Neurospora crassa OR74A: one gene and its partner. The protein of the gene in region 1 interacts with the protein of each later gene in a pairwise test. Links are inferred from orthologs where the notes say so. Each region holds a gene or a part of one and is shown in the gene's direction. Other genes may lie near its edges.

The links. The genes of interacting proteins can lie anywhere in the genome.
Region 2: the proteins of arg-12 (region 1) and aga-1 interact in binary tests that used the Saccharomyces cerevisiae proteins (3 or more experiments, as listed by UniProt). The link is inferred for Neurospora crassa OR74A from reciprocal best matches to the Saccharomyces cerevisiae genes ARG3 and CAR1.

The regions. Positions count from the first base shown.
Region 1 is NC_026502.1:2,757,938-2,761,668, forward strand, and holds arg-12 (ornithine carbamoyltransferase), read left to right. Parts: upstream 1-1,211; 5' UTR 1,212-1,679; coding exon 1,680-2,039; intron 2,040-2,145; coding exon 2,146-2,832; intron 2,833-2,901; coding exon 2,902-3,012; 3' UTR 3,013-3,231; downstream 3,232-3,731. Other genes in the region: NCU01668 (hypothetical protein), read right to left, coding at 1-58; ilv-4 (acetolactate synthase small subunit), read right to left, coding at 3,414-3,594, 3,661-3,731.
Region 2 is NC_026507.1:2,873,338-2,877,342, reverse strand, and holds aga-1 (arginase), read left to right. Parts: upstream 1-1,374; 5' UTR 1,375-1,592; coding exon 1,593-1,772; intron 1,773-1,844; coding exon 1,845-2,428; intron 2,429-2,501; coding exon 2,502-2,814; 3' UTR 2,815-3,505; downstream 3,506-4,005.

The DNA.
Region 1 (3,731 bases):
TGCTTGTCGACGCCGCGAGCAGAGGGGACCGCTCGGTTTCGAAGTCGGAAGACGACATGTCGAAATGATTGTGCTGGATTCGGTTCTCAAGCCCTCATGAATGAAGTGTAAAGACTGAAATGGGCAATGAGTGGATGAATGATCGCAGGCAGACGAGCAATGGTAGATTGCCGTGAAGCTTGGACGCTCCTGCGATAACGACAACGGACGAGTTAAACGGTCGGGTGTTGGCAGGGAGGTACCTCTAGATACTAGGTTGATCAAGGATAAGATGGACTGGTAGGCTAGAAGAACTCGATATAATGAACAATATGTCTAGGGAAATTGATGAGAATGAATCGAAGAAGTATAGTATGGACGATTTATACTGGAATGCTGTTGCAACAAAGCAGGACGGTTGGTGTTTCGGCGACGTTGAGATTGAAGTTGGGCTCGCAGCCGACACATCAAGTCTTCGGATATGGAGGTACCTAGATCACGAGCCATGCACTAACAACATGATGCGTGAGTTGGCACTATTCTACAGGCTGACAGTGCCTTCATGCAGTTAAGGTAGTGCTGCACCAAGACGGGACTACACCAAAATAGCGGCTTCTACACTAGTGTATGCCCACAAGGTTGCCCTGTGCGCGACCGGGATCAGCTTCCGCTTAGGATGATTGGTCCTGCCGTGCCTGCATGGCTCTTGGTTTGCGTGACCTCCGGCGCCGGAACACGGAAGGAAACTCTTTGCCCTCACCCTTCCGCGAGGTCGCGATGGGACCGGTGACCGGATGTGCCTGTTCCCCTCGTCGGTTGCATCCAAATTCCCAGTGGATGGATGATGGACGATTGAACGGCATGCCCCTGGGTGGGGCCGCAACCCCGAACTTGGAGAAGCCCAGTCCCGCCAGCGGGCTTGCCCAGAGGCTCCAGACACCCCACCGGCTTGTCCCGTCGTGGTGTGGAGTGAAGCTCAAGTAACCAACCATTAAACAAGCTCCAATTCGTCAGACCTGCATGTACCCGTCCCTCACACTAAGTCTAGGGTTCTTATCCTGAATGACACACCTCATGCTGAGCTCCATTGGCGGTTGGAGGCGGGAATCAGCTGTGGCTGGGCTATTTGATTGTGAGCGTGAAGGAACTGAGTATGTAAGACCGCTCAAAGAGAGAGAAAAAGATAAAAGCAAGAAGGATAAAATAAAGAGTTGGAAGACAAACGTGCAGATAGCCGGTATCGGTGCAGTTTCAAAATCAAATTGTTGTGCAATTCAACTCTTGGCTGTTATCTTTTGGCCCAAGAGACCTATTCCCTGCTACCAAGCTCATCCCCGTAAGGGCCCTCAACAGTGAGCTACTTAATCGTCTTGTTCCTTGACTGTGGGTTTTGCAGACTGGGAAGAGGCTATTCCGAAAGTCTGGGGCTGAAAAGAGAAAGGACGAAAGACCAGGGTACCTGTGAAGAGTCACGGTTCGCGAATTGATTCATGAAGGAAGTGGAAAGGGCCTTGATAAACACTACCTCCTAGTACTGCAGCTTTCCCCCCAGGGCCACTCTTCCTGGCTGACTCACTTTCCCACTTCTTTCACAACTCATCTCTCATTTCTTAAGATACCCCATTGCACTTTTTCTTCGTTTGACATTTCTCTCCTTCCTTGTCCTCACCAGATACCCGTCTCACCTCACCATCGCCATCATGATGTCCCGGGCAACTACTCGCACCATCAAGTCCGCTGTCGGACAAATCCAGGCTCGCTCTGTGTCCAACAGCGCCGCCAGCAGTACCCCCCGCCATCTTCTCTCCATCAGCCAGCTTAGCCCTGCCGAGTTCTCCAAGCTTGTCCTCAATGCTTCTGCTTACAAGCAGGCCACCAAGGCCGCCTTCGCTGCTGGCCCCGGCCAGGTACCCCGCACTTTGGACGGCAAGCTAAAGGGACGGACCGTGGCCATGATGTTCAGCAAGCGAAGCACCAGGACCCGTGTCTCGACCGAGGCCGCTGTGGCCCTCATGGGCGGCCACCCCATGTTCCTCGGCAAGGATGACATCCAACTGGGTGTAAGTGTTAACTACCGTCTCGGCTCCATCGTCCCTCCCCTTGCCTAAAGGAGACACATACATGCGCAACGACCAGCACCTCGATCGCTAACGACACTTTCCACAGGTCAACGAGTCTCTCTATGACACTTCCAAGGTCATCTCCTCCATGACCTCGTGCATGGTAGCCCGCGTCGGTCCTCACTCCGACGTCGCCGACCTCGCCAGGGACTCATCGGTACCTGTCATCAACGCCCTGTCCGATGACTTCCACCCGCTCCAGGCCATTGCCGACTTCCAGACCATCCACGAGGCTTTTGCCACCAAGCCCGCCCACGAGGCCAGCCTCGGACTCGAGGGCATGAAGGTCGCCTGGGTCGGCGACTCTAACAACGTACTTTTCGACATGGCTACCGCCTGCGTCATGCTGGGCGTCGACATTGCCGTCGCCTCGCCCGCCGGCTACGGCATTCCCGACCGCATGAAGCAGATCATCCTCAGCGTCGCCGAGGGCGTTGCCAAGCCCGGCAAGCTGATCGAGACTACGGTCCCCGAGGAGGCTGTCAAGGACGCTGATATCTTGGTTACCGATACCTGGGTGTCCATGGGTCAGGAGGCCGAGACCCAGAGGCGTCTCAAGGCGTTTGCCGGCTTCCAGATAACCAACGAGCTGGCTAAGCGTGGCGGCGCGAAGCCCGGCTGGAAGTTCATGCACTGCCTTCCTAGGCACCCTGAGGAGGTTGATGACGAGGTTTTCTATGGTCCTCAGTCCTTGGTCTTCCCCGAGCCGAAAATAGGCTCTGGGCTGCCGTCTGTAAGTGAAGCGATCTTATTCTGCCCCGCGGATGAAGCTTGAGCTAATCACGTTTGTGCTTTTACCTAGCTGCCCTTGAGGCTTTCGTCGTCAACAACGGTAGGATACTTTGAGCAGAAGCGATATGACAAGGTTTCTTTTGGTTGCATCTTGGTTCTATCCACTCTTCGTACATCGTAAGCATATCATGGCAGCAGTAAGGCAGGCGTTGTATTCCATGGGTTAAGGGGGTTTGGTTGGTTAATATAACCATATTCTCAGTTACACACAAAAGTTCTTGGCTTTTTTTTTTCCCTCCTTCACATCGGTTCGTCTTATTGTATTCTATCTAGACGGGTAATAAGACAAAAGAGAAACGACATAAAATGATGACAGATTTTTCGAGATGCTGCAAAAGGCTGATCAACTACTTTTCATGTGATTCTTGTAACGCCGCTGCAGCTATTAGAATAGACGAGGCACATGAAGACAATTCTGCAAAGTGCGAAAATAAGAGGACCAATTGACCAATCCGATCCACAACTCCTGGGTAAATCCTTTCCCATTTTTCCCCCATTCCTTTTGCACACACCATCCCACATTTAACCAGGGGGAAGCTGGCTAGCATCAACAACGTCATCGGCCTCCTTCACATGGGTCTCCTCGCCGTGCTCGTAGAGAGGAGAGCGGGGCAGGGCCATGAGACCAGTACGGGCGGACTCAAGAATGCCGAAGGGGGCAATGAGCTTGAGGAAAGAGTCGATTCTGACGGGCTTCGCGGAGCTGTGGAAGAGTGGTTAGTAAGTAAGCTTGACAGGGGCGCGAGACCAAAGGGTGAATCAAACTTACACTTCGACAATGCAGCTGTTAGTGCTAATATCCAATACCTTGCCGCCGAACTGGTGGGTGAAGTATGTGAT
Region 2 (4,005 bases), on another chromosome or scaffold:
CTCGAGCTTGCCGACTTCCGGTCCTGTCGTCGAAGGTGTCATGGCAAATGCCTGCATCCTGGGTAGAGGTTTTTTTTTGTGCTCGAAACCATCCTCTGACAGACCGGGGTATGGCCGGGACGGTCAATTGGACTGCTCGTATCCTGCCATGTGGGCCGGATAAATCAACTATGTGACATGATAAATCACCAAGGGCCACAGCATCAACTTTCTGCGACGGCAACTACCATTCGTGTACCAACTGAAGTCCTCACTCAAAGTCAAGGTTTCAATTGAAGACAACGAAAGAATAGATCGGTCTTTTTCAAAGCCCTCAGTTATCACGTTTATGCGGGACTATCGATATGTATTGCGGTGGTCCTTTGCGTCTTCGAGTTCCTGCTACCATACATCCCGTTTCTTACCATAATTCTCTTGAGTTGGCTCCCGGAATTGATCTTTCTAGACAATTCATCTATTGCTTTGGCCCTATGAGATCTGTTCCTGCTTTCGTTTCCTGATCTCTTTTCTCTTCTTCTGGAGGGGTAGTTATGGGGACGTCTTGTATCGTGAGACGGAGAACGGCGAACGCTGGTGGTTGAGCCGTCAAAGGAAGTCATGGCCCTCATTGGTTGCACTTTATCCACAATGGCGATTTATCATGGCGCATAGTCGAGTTATCTGGCCCGCCGCTTTGAGTCAGAAATGGGCAAAAATGGAGAATTGGAAGTTTTCTAGAACTTCAGATAACCTCCACTCGGACCTGTGGCAGCCATGAGACGATGGGCCTTGACCCTCGATGCCACCACTGGCGGGAATGCTCCTCCACAGACTCTCCGTCTCCAACCACCTGCTCTGCTTGGCCGGGCTGATCCCTCGCGATCGCTGCCACAAAGCTGACTCGGCTGACAAGCTTTGCTTCGAATGTCTTTGCTGTCAAACAGGATGCCCCTCCACTCTCTGATCAACCCCTCGTCGGCCCTCAAGCAAGGAGGCGCCATCAGGGCCCTCTTATTGGCGGCCTTGACACATGGCCAAGATCACCGTACGTAATACTGAATCCTACCCTCACCTTCTTCCACTGCCAGATGCCCAGATCTGCTCTTCGGCTCGGTGAGACAAGATGCAAAAATGCCAGGGTATTGTCGGATAGTACCGGCAATAGCCGTCATTTCCGACTTGTTGGAGCCTTGGGAACGGACTCCATCCCTCCTCGGGGCGGGATGAGGATAAAGTGATCCGTGGTCCGTGATTCGGATCCGTTCACGCCGAGACCAGTACCGGGGCATGAGCGGTGGGAATCTAGGCATGTCGAAACTTCCTTGCTAGGATGGAGAGGTCGGGAAGGTAGGTGAATATGTCATGGCGTGGGTTTCAGAAAAAAAAAGCTATCTGATTTCTCTTTTCTTTTTCTATTTGATTTGATTTCTCTTCTTCCTTCTCTCCTCAACAACTTCTCATTCTCTTTGTAACACCTACTACGTACTACACTACACTGCACTAGCCTTCTTCCGATCTTGGTCTTGTGAGATCTCTTTGGTTGCATCACTAGCTCTAGCCCTCGTCTACCCCCACTGCTACCCTACCTCTTCGGCACCATTCCTTCTTTGCTAATGTCTCCCTCCCTCGTCGATAACCACGCAGCGGCTTATATAGCTGCTCCCTCGTCCGCAAAGGCACCAATGATCCAAAAACCAGGCAACACTTTCGGCATGTCTTCCCCAATCGAGTCCAAGTTTCTCTCCCAGCCAAGGGACCTCGGCATTGTTGCCGTAGGCTTCTCCGGCGGCCAGGTATGTGATGCTCTTTATTTTTTTCTTTTTTTCTGACGCGTTTGGCATCCATTGACACGACCAAAATTCTAGTGCAAGCCTGGTGTCGACGCCGCCCCCTCCGCCCTCATCGAGTCCGGCCTTCTCACCCAGCTCCGCGAAGAGCTTGGCTACAGGCTGCACGGCGATGACGAGGTGCACCTCTACACTGACCTCGTTCCCAAGGAGGACCCGCCTCACCGCAACATGAAGAACCCGCGCGCCGTCTCCAACGTGACCAAGCGCATTGCTGAGCAGGTCCACTCGCACGCCAAGGAGGGTCGCCTGGTCCTCACTCTCGGTGGTGACCACAGCATTGCCATTGGCACCATTGCCGGCTCGGCCAAGGCCATCAAGGAGCGCCTGGGACGCGAGATTGCCGTGATCTGGGTCGATGCCCACGCCGACATCAATACCCCCGAGACCAGCGGCAGCGGCAACATCCACGGCATGCCCGTCAGCTTCCTCACAGGCTTGGCGAGCGAGGACAAGGAGGAGTTCTTTGGCTGGCTGAAGCCCGACCACCTCCTCAGTGTCAAGAAGCTGGTCTACATTGGCCTCCGCGATGTCGACCCGGGTGAGAAGCGCATCCTCAGGGAGAACGGAATCAAGGCGTTCAGCATGCACGACATTGACAAGTAAGCCTAGTCCCCGATGAATGACATGAGTATACCCGGAGCATCTTGCTAATCATTACCCCTTTCGTATCAGGCACGGCATCGGTCGCGTCATGGAGATGGCCCTCGGCCACATCGGCAACGACACCCCTATCCACCTTTCGTTCGACGTCGATGCGCTCGATCCCATGTGGGCTCCCTCCACGGGAACCCCGGTCCGTGGCGGTCTCACTCTCCGCGAGGGCGACTTCATCTGCGAGTGTGTGCACGAAACGGGAAGCCTTGTCGCTGTCGATCTTGTCGAGGTCAACCCTACCTTGGCGGCTCCCAACGACGTTGGCGCACACGAGACTGTTCGCGCTGGTTGCTCCTTGGTCAGGTGCGCTCTCGGCGAAAGCCTTCTATGAGTGTGACACCTGTCCAAAGGGTAGTCAATGGCGGCAGTAAAGGCAATATTTAGGGGGTGAAGAAGAGAAGGGGGGCAGATGAAGAGCCGAACACAGGGAGGCCGCAGCAACGCGGCGTTTTTTTTTTTTACATATACGACATAACAGGACAAATAACGGCAGCATAATGATGTCTCCTATAGATATGGGATGGGACGTCAGGTGTTTTAGGATACCATTGGGGGAATACTTTTGTCTTTTTTCTTTCTTTCTCAAGAGCTAGCCTGTACATAGACGGCTTTCTTGCGGGCCTGGCCAGTCTTTGGAAGTCAGCCCGGGATTTGATGTCTTTGATCATGGAGAGCATACATCGATCCCCTTTGAAACGCAAAAGAACTTTTATTTGCGCTTCTACTTTGTTGGCTCCATCTCTGTCGTTGTCTGTCTTTGAACAATGAAGCTATTGCAGTTTCTCTGCACTCTACACCCCCAATTATGCTGCACAGACATTTAACTCGCAGATGGCCGACATCGGACTCTTCGGTCGGGCACCGCACCATTTTAAGCAGCATGTCAACGGCGCCGCCACTGCAGTGTCCGGGCTCCTGCGCCGAAATAACATGACTGAGCATCCAACGACGAGTGTGCGAAAAGGTAAAAACACTGAGGCGGGAGGTTATCTTCAGTTCCTCGCTGCAATGGCGCGTCTCATCCCTCCCACCTCAAAGATCGGACGGACCTAGTGTGCTGTTGTGGTCCTTCATTATCGATAACGCTGCCCCTCCAGACGGAAGCCAAGCCAAGTCTCTTTTTAAGCGCCGAGATCACCGTTCCCGTCCGCTGTCACTGCGCTGCCCTGCCGCTGTTCCGAACGATGGAGCCCTTGACAACTCAGTGATCACTTTCGAGTTTTGACAGACAGACGAAACTGGGGACTGAGGTCGGTGGAAGGTTTCATAGCTGCATATATCATGTATATCTGGAATATTATGTGTCATGGATGCAGGCCAACAATAACATCCATCTTCATCCCCTCCCAGCCTGCTGAATTTAGTTGTGATTCGGCTCGCTAAAGTCTCCCAGCCACGGGAAACCGGCCGTAGCAAGTTTCGATTTCTACCCCACTGTCGTACCAGGCAGGCTGGCTGCAAGGTCCCAGACTCACAGGACAACAACAGCAACACCATCGTCGACGACTTCAACAATAGCTTT